Linked DNA regions of Cricetulus griseus. The protein of the gene in region 1 interacts with the protein of each later gene in a pairwise test. Links are inferred from orthologs where the notes say so. Each region holds a gene or a part of one and is shown in the gene's direction. Other genes may lie near its edges.

What was found.
Region 2: the proteins of Ngly1 (region 1) and Ubxn2b interact in binary tests that used the Homo sapiens proteins (3 or more experiments, as listed by UniProt). The two-hybrid records come from large-scale screens. The link is inferred for Cricetulus griseus from reciprocal best matches to the Homo sapiens genes NGLY1 and UBXN2B.
Region 3: the proteins of Ngly1 (region 1) and Trafd1 interact in binary tests that used the Homo sapiens proteins (3 or more experiments, as listed by UniProt). The two-hybrid records come from large-scale screens. The link is inferred for Cricetulus griseus from reciprocal best matches to the Homo sapiens genes NGLY1 and TRAFD1.

What each region holds. Positions count from the first base shown.
Region 1 is NW_023276807.1:173,767,122-173,770,771, forward strand, and holds part of Ngly1 (peptide-N(4)-(N-acetyl-beta-glucosaminyl)asparagine amidase), read left to right. Parts: intron 1-1,106; coding exon 1,107-1,217; intron 1,218-3,140; coding exon 3,141-3,305; intron 3,306-3,650. UniProt on the Homo sapiens protein: Specifically deglycosylates the denatured form of N-linked glycoproteins in the cytoplasm and assists their proteasome-mediated degradation. Cleaves the beta-aspartyl-glucosamine (GlcNAc) of the glycan and the amide side chain of Asn, converting Asn to Asp.
Region 2 is NC_048595.1:154,304,764-154,308,513, reverse strand, and holds the start of Ubxn2b (UBX domain-containing protein 2B), read left to right. Parts: upstream 1-1,120; 5' UTR 1,121-1,182; coding exon 1,183-1,266; intron 1,267-3,750. UniProt on the Homo sapiens protein: Adapter protein required for Golgi and endoplasmic reticulum biogenesis. Involved in Golgi and endoplasmic reticulum maintenance during interphase and in their reassembly at the end of mitosis.
Region 3 is NC_048597.1:101,255,793-101,259,513, reverse strand, and holds the start of Trafd1 (TRAF-type zinc finger domain-containing protein 1), read left to right. Parts: upstream 1-828; 5' UTR 829-965; intron 966-1,160; exon of another isoform or gene 1,161-1,185; intron 1,186-2,516; 5' UTR 2,517-2,527; coding exon 2,528-2,574; intron 2,575-3,721. UniProt on the Homo sapiens protein: Negative feedback regulator that controls excessive innate immune responses. Regulates both Toll-like receptor 4 (TLR4) and DDX58/RIG1-like helicases (RLH) pathways.

The sequences.
Region 1 (3,650 bases):
AGGAGTAGAATGGCTGGATCATTGTCCAGTTATTTTGCAAAGGAATGGCACCATTTTATTTTCTTACCAGCAGTACATGAGACTTCCCAGTTTCTCCACATCTTTGCCAAAGTTTAATGTGGCTTTACTTTTAAATTTAGCCCTGACGAAGAGAGAATAGTTGTACTTTCCAAGTGTACTTTCCTAATGGCACAGTATGTTGGAGCCTGTGCAAGGTGTTCCTTTTCCAAACCTGTGTCTTCTTTGCCTATTTTTCCATTGTGTGTTTTGTTCTCTTCTGAGTTTAGAAGTTTCTTTTTATGTTCTTATGCAAGTTGCGTTTTTTTGGTTTTTGTTTTGTTTTGATTTCATTTTTAGAAATATGTGTTACAAAAATTTGCCTGGTGTGTTCTAAATGATTTGAAGAAAAAAATCTTAAGTCCAGTTTAGCATGTTCTCTTACAGATTTTGCTTTTCATGTTGCATCTAAGAATTTTTATCTGCCACATGACAATAATTTTCTCCTGTTTTCTTTTCAGTTTTTATATTTTTAGTTTTACCTCCTAATCTAAAACTCTTACCTAGTTGGGGATAATTCTGTTGAAGTTTATTTTGAGTTTCTAGATAATGATTTGTTTTGGCATAGTGTGCTGGGAAGATTGGACATTTTCCTTCAGTTGTCCTTTTTGTCAGAAATCAGCTGTGTAATAAAACAATCGTGAGGGTGAAGAAGTTTGCTTTGTTTAATTCTGCAGTAGCATCAGCTTTAAACTGAAACCTTAACATTCTGAAAACTTTATCCCTTTATTTATCAGTATATTTTCTTGAAGAAACTAAGGCGCATTCTCTTCCATATCTTTCATTTTCATTGTTTACTATGACAGCTGAGGTAGGCCTTGCACTAATGTTCCTGCTTCAGCCTCCTAAGTGTTGGATTATGGTTGTAATCCTCCATGCCCCCCCTTTTTTTTTAATTGGGCAATAGCCTCAACCCTGGCTTTAAAATCCCAACAAAGGGCAACATTTTTCTGAGTTGCATGGAAAAATTTCTTGCATTGTAGTTATGTCTAAAAAATAAAGGGTCAGTGTGATTTTGTTAAATAGGTATGTTCTATGATTGGTTCCAGGTAGTTGATGTCACCTGGCGATACTCTTGTAAACATGATGAGGTGATATCCAGGAGAACCAAGGTTAAAGAGGAGTTACTCCGAGAAACCATTAATGAGCTTAACAAGCAGGTATGTGGTGGCTATCATTTTAAATAGGATATTTGAAATTTTATATATCATCAGGAATAGTCAGTTTTAACCCTTTACTTATTGAGACAAGGTTTCATGTAACCTTGTCCTCAAGTACTAGGCTAATATGGGCAACACCAGTGCCTAATTTTTAAATTTTTCTTTTATTCTTTGAGAATTTCATGCAGTATATTTTGATCATATTCACCATTCCACAACTGTTCCCAGATCCACTCTTCCTCCCTACCCACCCACCCAACTTCATATCCTTTTTTAAAATTTTTTGTGTAATTTGTGCTGCCCACATACTCTTGTGTATGAGACCTGGCCTGCCTGTAGCTTGGTCTGCCTACCCTTGTAGGTGTGTGTGCCTACTGTGTGTGTTTGCATAAAGGCCAGAGGTTAACATCAGGTATCCTTTCCTTGTCCCAATAGCTCCTTAGCTAGTAGCGGGTATGCCCACCTCCCTGCCTCCATGCTGGGATTTTGTCAAACTTGAGCTTGTGCAGCAGATCTTGTACATACTGTCACAACTACTGTGAGTTTTATATGTGCAATTGCCCTGCTGTGCCTTTGCTTATAGTCATTCATCCACAATTGGCTCTTATAATCTTTCTGTCTCCTTCTTCAATGATTCCCAAGGGTTGAATGGAGGGGTGTGCTATAGATGTCCTGTGGAGTGTTGAGAACTCTACAGTCTCTTATTCTCTACATGTTAACCCAATGCCATACCAAGGTTATATATGCATCATGGAACCCAGGGCCTTGTGGTCCTCAACAGTTTACTGATTGAGCTGTATGCTTTGCCCCCTGTCTTCCCCATTGAAATTTCTAAAGCAGTAACAACTTTCTAGCAAGACTACATTAATAAGCCAGTGTCTTTTTATTCATGGTAAATTTGGACAATTCATTGAAGTATTGTGGGGTGTTTATGTTAAATGTCACATTCCTTCTCAAAGTTCAGTGAAACAGAATTTCAATATTTAAACGAGAAGTATGTAGTTGTGGGCTGGTGAGATAGCTAAGTGGGTAAAGTGTTTCCTGCATAAACATGAGGATCTGAGTTCAGATTCCCAGAACCCATGTAAACTACAAATGTGATAGCTTGTACCTGTAACCCCAGAACTTAGCTTTCTGGCCGCTTAGTCTGGTTATGATAGTGAGATTCAGGTTCATTAGAGGTCCTGTCTCAAAAGTGAGATAGAAAAAGATAGAGGAGGATACCTGATGTTAACCTCTGGCCACTATGCATACACATAGTATGCACACATGCACACACACATACGCTACACCTGAACAGAAACACACATACCACACATATTCACATACCACATGTACACACACACCACACACGTACAGCACATACACATACATGCACACAGTATGTCATTGCTGGGCCTGTTGGAAAATGCTTGTAATCCTAGCAAGCTTAGCCATTGGGAGACTGGAGCAGGAGGATAGTGAATTCCAGGCTAACCTGAAATACATAATGTGACCCTGTCTGAAGACACAAAAACTGTCTTATTTAATTATCAGACTCTATCTTGAATATAACGATGCACTTGTACTTGTGTAGAAATGTATATGTAAATGTACCCACATGTTCTTGTATGAAAATTTCTGAAATAAGGTATGGAATGGTCATAGTGATTACCGAGGAAGCGAAGTACTAGGGGTTGAGCTAGTCCATCACAACCAGAAGAGAAGGTGCTATCTCCCATTTGAAAGCTGCAGTAATCCAGTTCATGAAGAGTTAAAAATAAAACACGGAGAGTTAAGTGTTCCATACTTTTGAATTTTCTAAAGAGTATGGAAGTAAAATTGATGCATCTTTCAAGATGTCTGAAAATATCAATGGTTTTATTTTGCTTAGAGGTGAACTTCTGTATTCCCCTAAACTCTGATTTTAAACATTAATTACAGAGGCAGCTAACATTGTCAGAAAACAGAAGAAAAGAACTTCTTCAGAGGATAATTGTGGAGCTTGTTGAATTTATATCTCCCAAAACCCCCCGACCTGGAGAACTTGGTGGAAGGGTGTCTGGGTCATTGGCTTGGAGAGTAGCCCGAGGTGAAATGGGTCTAGAGGTATGTGTTCTAGCCAAGTAATCTGACTTCCTGCTTGCTGTACTACATTCTTGGCTTTTAGAAAACCAAGTTGGCAAATGATCAGAATGATTTTCCTTCTGGGAGGTTTTGTGAGTGGGATATAGGAATAGATTTACAATACGAAACAAGATTAAAATCTCATTTTTCGCTTCCATTTAAAAGTAAAACTAGACACATTTCTTATAATATGCTCCCTTAGTTGTCAAGGCTTTCAATATCTTCTTTATGTAGTCTATAAGAATTCTTAGGTAGCTGTTCCTGTTAGCACTGACCTGTACCCCTAAATGTTGGGGAAGCTGAAACAAGAGAGTTGCAAGTTCAGTG
Region 2 (3,750 bases), on another chromosome or scaffold:
AGACCAGGCTGGCCTTGAATTCACAGAGATCCCCTGCCTCTGCCTCCCGAGTGCTGGGATCAAAGGTGTGCGCCAGCAACACCCGGCTAATGGGACCCTTTAAGGCAGAATGTGTATTTAGAATATCAGGACAGCACTACAAGGTATGGTAGTTTGTACTGCTAGTTACAAGGTGAATTTAACTATCATTTGCTTTGCTCAAATACATGTGGAATACATTAAAATGGAGGAGGAGACGTCTTCCTTTACTCTCAGAGTCTCAGCTGGGCCTGAGAATGAAACCGAATAGATTCACAGGAGAAAAAGGCACAAATTTTATTGAAAAAATTTTTTCATGTGACTAGTGTCTTCATACGAACCTGAAGGCCTATGTGGATATATTTTCATACCAGCGGCCATCATGCAAAATTGGCTAGGATGTGGGTTTAATTCTAAGAGGTCTGTTATAGACCTCTCCATTTCAACTTCTCTAGATGGTAAAATTTGCCTTTTTTTTTTTTTAAGAACATGCCAAAGCAACACACTGTAAGCTGGTACGGCAGCACGATGCACACAGCGGGTACCAACGGATTATTCTCCATTCACATACAGGCCTTCCATAATACTGTTTGCAAAGCTTATTTACAAATTTATTCTGTTACCTGTTTATGTCTTTCCCTCACTAGCTTTTAAGTTTCATAGAGGACCGGACTTCTTTTTTCTACCTGGGAAATCCTTGAGAGGTTGTAAGTGCCTAGGATAAGACAGGAAAGAACTCAGTCAATCCCGCGGCTTAAGAGTCACCATTTCATTGCCAAAAGCTTCACTGTGTTCCTCTTCCTCCACACGGTTCCACGCGGAGGGATGTACCATCCAATCCTTGATAAGGGAAAATGAGAGATTGGACCAAGACTTGCAAGGTGAAGCTGTTGAGTTAAACGAATCAGCAAGTCAACGCTGCGCTCTAGGACAACCCAGCAAGTGGCAGTGACTGCAAACAAAGACTGGAAGGTTGGCAGGACCGGAAGCCCAAAGCGAAGGACTGCAGCCTGGTGCGGGAAAGGAGCGAGGACTGACGTAAGAAGACACGGCTCCGCCCCCTCCCGGAGGGGCTGGTCACCGAGAGGCTCCGCCCCTCCCAGGTCGCTAAGCAACCATCCCGGAAGTCGCGAGTCCGGGGCGGGCGCCGAAAGAGGGTGGAAGATGGCGGAGGGCGGCCGCGCGGACCCTGAGGAGCAGGAGAGGGGGTCCTCGAGGCCACGGCCCCCGAGTGCGCGGGACTTACAGGTACGGAGGCAGGAGCGCGGCGCGGGCAGGAGGGCGCGGGCCACAGCCACGCTGTACCTCGCCTGAGGAGAATGATTACCAGCCAAGGTCTCTCCCGGAGGCACATTGCGGGGTGGGGGGCGTGGAAACGGGTGCCCGAGCGGCAGGCGCCAGCACCTGGATCCCCTTCGCCACGCACGGTGCACCAAGTAGTTGTTTGGAATGTCATTTTGCGGGGCCATCTAGGTGGCTCCCGGTTGATGCTGCCTGCCTTCTGGAGAGTTACCATGGCCTGTGATAAGTCAGCCATCACTTAAAAAGTAACTTAAAAATAACGCATGTTGATTTGTTCTCTTGGACGAGCTTTCAGATTTGAAGACTTACACATTAAAAACAGTCCCCCCCCCTTATCAAAAAGCTCTGGTTTTTTAAGGAGAGAGCTTAAAACAGTTCAGTCCGTGGTTACAGCCCACTTATAAGAGGTAATCCATGAAACAATGTAACAGAAATAAAACTCGGTATATTGTGACATTGACATTAGTCAGCTGAACACTTGCCCCCTAAATAAATGCTGTTTTATCAGATGCTAACACTACTTGCTCATTTTAGGCATTGTTCTATCTCCCCATGAGATCACTGATAAAATTGAGTAATTAAACGTATGTTAGGGTATGTTAGGGGTTAAAGGTAAGAATAAATGAGCCTGAATTGTCAAACCTTGACAGAACATTTTTAATACCTAATCTTCATTCTTTAACCAGACATACTGACCACTTGCTGTTATAACTTTCTGCTCAAGCTTTGGAGAATTTGGAGATAAATAAGGCATCAAATCCATAAGTAGTAGTGGATACTGTTGTGTGGTATCCACAGATTTGAAACAGGCTTGTAAACTAGCTTTAATAGACCAAATCAGTGCAAAGTTATAATGGTATTGAGCATTGGTTGGTAGTTACAGGCGACCCCGAAGCCACTTAACTTGTTGTCTTAGTCTGGGTTACTATTGCTATGATGAAGCTCCATGACCAGAGCAACTTGGGGAGGAAAGGATTTTATTTGTCATAGGCTTCCATATCACTCTTCATCATCAAAGGAAGTCTGGATAGGAACTCAAGCAGAGCAGAGACCTGGAGACAAGCCTTAGAGGGGTGCTGCTTAACTGGCTTGTTCCTGATGGCTTGCCTAGACTGCTTTCTTATTGAACCCAGGATCCCTAAGCCAGGGGTGACACCACCCACAGTCACTACTTAAGGAAATGTTCCATCTTATGGAAGCATTTTCTCAATTGAGTTGCCCTCCTCTCTAATGACTCTAGCTCTGTTAAGTAGTGAAGGGTGACAGATGACTGTGCTGGAAGATAGTGAAAACAGGGACACTGACAACAAGCGTTGGTGGCACACGCCTTTAATCCCAGCACTCAGGAGGCAGAGGCAGTCCCATCTCTGTGAGTTCAAGGCCAGCCTGGTCTCCAGAGCAAGTGCCAGGATAGGCTCCAAAGCTACACAGAGAAACCCTGTCTCGAAAAACAAAACAAAACAAAACAAAAAAAAGACCTTGTGGTGATGAAATGGACGTGCCTGTACTTTACTTACATGAATCTTTCAACTGATTAAATTTATGTCTTTAAATTTTGGTAGGCATTTAAAGACATAAAAACTAAACTCAGCGATGTTCAGTAATCCACCGAACTTACACAGTAAGTGCCTAAGTTAAGGCTTGGATCCAGCTGAGTGAGAACAAGGGGGTGTATGAACATGGGAGGGAAGAAGGGGGAGATGGTGGAATTATATTTTCATTTAAAAAAACATGATCATGCATTAGACCCTGCCTGGGTTCAGGTTGCAGCCCTGGAAAATGACTGGCTAAGTTTGCCTCATTTATTTATTCATCTTTTCCTTCTGAGGTAATAATACACAAATAGTTACTTGGTGAGGGAGTGGGCTTGTTTGATTGTAAAGTGGGTGGGAGACCAAAGATCAAAAATCATACCGACTGAATAGCCAGTGGGGAGCATTAAGGAAATTTCTTTTGTTTTGCTTGTCTTTTGAATCAGTCTCTCTACACAGCCCCGACAGTCCCCTCACTGTGTAGACCAGGCTGGCCTCAAAAATCACAGGTATCCTCCAGCTTCTGCTTCCCAAGAGCTGGGATTAAAGGCATGTACCACTATGCCAGGCTGAAAAATTTTAAATTATTGCCCCAAATAGCAAAAGTGGGGGGGGGAACCTGTAATAATCAGATTAATATTTTAAATTCTGTTTCAAGGACAAATATATTTTTACTTTATTTAGAAGGTATTCAGCTACATATCTGCAATATGTAATTTTGCATTAAATGTTATCTCATTTTTTTTAGCTCTTTTCTCTGAACTTGATGAAATTTATGTCTGATAAACTTTAAAGCAGTACTTTTGAGCTTGTTTTATGTTCTTGAGTTTTAAAAACAGCTAAGTGAAATTATATTATGAGATTGATTTAGAGAAATTGGCAATATTGTGAACTGTCC
Region 3 (3,721 bases), on another chromosome or scaffold:
GCAATTATATGGGTGAGGTAGCATAAGCCTGCAAACCCAGTACTTGGGAGATGGAGGCAGGAGGATATTGAGTTTAAGGTCATCCTTGGTGCATAGGCAGTTGAGGCCAGAGTGCTGGGATTAAAGGTTCGAGCTTCTGTGCTCTGCTTTTCTGTTACATTTTAAAAACATTTTATTTCCAGACCGTGTGGCACATGCCTTTAATCCCAGGCAGGCAGATCTCTGTGAGTTCCAGCCTGGTCTACAGAGCGAGTGCCAGGATAGGCTCCAAAGCTACATAGAGAAACCCTGTCTCGAAAAACCAAAAACCAAAAAAAAAAAAAAAAAAAAAAAAAAAGGAGGTTGAGGAGGTTGTGAAGCACCTGTTGTGCTGAGACCCAAAGTCGGGTCCTCTATAAGGACAGCAAGCGCTCCTAACTGTGGAGCCATCATCTCCCCATCCACACAGCTTAGGTGTGCCCTTTGCAGTTTATATGCCAGGTTAGACTTAGAATTTTCCCTTTTGTATCCATTAGGTATGAGATGCTCCACCAAGGCAGGAGACTTTGCTGTCACATAGGAGTCTCCGGCGCCTCCAAGAGGTCTGGCACGAGGAAGCGTTAATGACAAGGATGGCGAGTGGCTATTAACAGCCCATGACAAAGCACAAACGCCACTCACCGTCTTATTGGGCACATCGGGAATGTTTGCCCAGTATTAGTCAGGCAATCAATGCACGAGCCGGCAGAGAGGTCGGCTTCCAGATGTGAGAAGCCCCGCCCCTGAGCGCCGTGAGCCAATGGGGGATGAGGAGGCGGACCAGAGAGAGCGGCAGCGCTGCCGTCCAGTAGGTGTCCTGTATTGCCTCACGGCCATCCAATGGGCGTGCCCCTCGGCGACGGTGGGAAGCGGCCCGGTGGCTGGGCCGTTGTTGGCGCGGGGCGGCCGAGGCGGCTGTGGCGGCGGCGTTCCCGCTGGGCTCCGAGGTGAACGTGGGCGGGGGGTGGGGCGAGGCGGGGCGGGTGGCGGCGGCCGAGGCCGAGGCTCGCGGCGGGGGGCGGAGGCGGAGGCCCGGCCCGCTCCAACCGCTCCGGCCCGCGGAGAGCAGAGCGGCCGCTCCCCGAGGCGCCGCCGTGGCGTGTGGCCCGGCCTGCCTCCGCCTCCCCGGGCCTCCCGCTCGCAGAGCCTTCCCCGCTGTCGACAGAGGTCCGTCGGTCCGTCCGCCCGGCAGCCCGCTTTGTCTGCGAGGTTTCACTTAGACACTCACCTTAGGTTACCTAGTTTCATTGCTTGTTTTCCAGGCTCTGCTACATTGGACTCTTTAATTCGTTAAATAGGCTCAGTTGCCAGGGTACCGAGAATGGCAGGTGACTTGACAGTGTCCAGATCAGCCTGGCCCCTTGTTAGCAGTCAGTACCTACATCTATTTTTGTGTCAAGGGAAGGAGTGATGTAAACATTGGCGCTGCAAGAGAAAGGGCTGGAGCGGATCGCCTTTGCCTGGCGTGCCCGGGTGGGAGGGCTTCAAATTTGACAGAGAAAAAACATGGTAGGCCCCATCTCAACTAAGTAGGTAGCGTCACAAGTCATCCTGTTCCTTTTTCCTTTTAATACGATGTACCAACATGAGCTCTCTGTTGCTTTTTTTTTTTTTTTTTTTTTTTTTTTTTTTTTTTTTTTTGGTTTTCTGAGACAAGGTTTCTCTGTGGCTTTGAGGGCTGCCATGGAACTAGCACTTGTAGACCAGGCTGGTCTCGAACTCACAGAGACCCAACAGCCTTTGCCTCCTGAGTGCTGGGATTAAAGACGTGAGCCACCACTGCCTGGCTTTTATTTTTTTAATAGGGTATAATGTATCCCAAGTTGGTTTTGAACTTAACTAACCATGTTGCCAAGAAGGTTTTGAATTTTTGATTTTTGTTGTTTTTTTTTTTTTGCCCCCATTTCCCTAGTGGTAAGATTACAGGCATGTACCATCATGCCCAGTTTTATGGCTGGTCAGGGAACACAGGGCCCTGTACCACCTGAGCCCCAGCCTAGGTTCCTCACGTCGATGTACCCCTGCCAAAAGTATAGCATGAGTTTAATCCCAAGAAAACATCAGACAAACCCAGACTGAAGGTTTTTCTACAAAATAACTAGCCAATAGCTAGTACTAACTAGCTGAATTAGCCGTGAGAGAGAAAAACTAGAGCACTTTGAAGTCAGAGTGAGGAGCAACATCTAAGTGCTTTATTTGTCCCAGGGCTGAAACTGAACCAGAAAAGGGGTTGGTGGCCTCACTGCCATCTGGATAAAGTCTGTAGATTAGTTAGTTATTTTTAAAGTTAATATTAGGATTTAAGAATGTTAACTTTTGCTGCAGTTGACTGAAGGGCATAAAGGAGGTCTTTGTATTGTAAGCTTTTTTGTAAGTATTTTTTAAGTTGGAAATTCAAGAAAAATGAGAAGGAATGCCCCAAGTTTTCATTCTCTTGCATGTCATCCCTAAAGCAGAAATGAAACAGAAAGTGATACCTCTTCCTTTGCATTTGTCAGGAAGAGCTAAGATGGCTGAGTTTGCAGATGACCAGGCTGCCCGGCTGTGTGACAACTGGTAAGACATGGAATCTGAAGGTCTGACATGAGGCCATGGCAGCTCTGTAAAGACTTGGGTATTTTATTTGCAGGTTGTGACCCTAAACGGTGTAAGTCATTGTAACTCAAGCCTTTTAACTATTTGGGTGAATGGTTTAGGACTTGACAGGGAAGTTTCTCTGGTGTACTAAAGATTGGAATGGATGGAGCTGGGACTTGGGGCTCTGTCCTGCCCTTAATGAATTTTGACTTAGCAAGATAGGACTTGGGCTGGAGAGATGGCTCAGTGGTTAGAGCACTGCCTGCTCTTGCAGAGGACCCAGGTTTGGTCTCCAGTGCCCAGTGGGTCACAACCATCTGAAACTCTAGTTTTAGGAGATCCAAAGGCCTCTGGCCTCTCTGGACACCGGGCACACATGTGTACAGACATGCATGCAGGTAAAGCAACCATAGATAGAATAAAAACAACAACAACAACAAAAAAAAACAACTTGAGAGCCGGGCAGTGGTGGCGCACACCTTTAATCCCAGCACTTGGGAGGCAGAGGCAGGCGGATTTCTGTGAGTTCGAGACCAGCCTGGTCTACAAGAGCTAGTTCCAGGACAGCCTCCAAAGCCACAGAGAAACCCTGTCTTGAAAAACAAAACAAAACAAAACAAAACAAAAAAAGTCGGGCGTTGGTGGCGCACGCCTTTAATCCCAGCACTCGGGAGGCAGAGGCAGGCGGATCTCTGTGAGTTCGAGGCCAGCCTGGTCTCCAGAGCGAGTGCCAGATAGGCTCCAAAGCTACACAGAGAAACCCTGTCTCGAAAAAACCAACACCCAAAAAAAAAAAAAAAAAAAAAACACTGGAGCTGAGTGGTACATGCCTTGATCCTAGCTCTCAGGAGGCAGAGGCAGCAAGATCTTTGTGAGTTCCAGGACAGCTTGGTCTACAGAGGCTTATACAGGTAGTCCCATCTCAAAAGAAAAGAAACAAACAAAAAACCCAAAAAGCCCATTGGATTCGTTTGGATCTTCACTCTTTTTGAAGGTGGGGAAAGGTAGAGGTTGGGATTGTGCACAGCCTTATGTTTGGTAGGCACACTCTATTATTGAGCCCCTACAGCGTTTATACACATATAAGAAGCCAACTGCTTTTTTATATGTCCCCAAAGTATGCTAT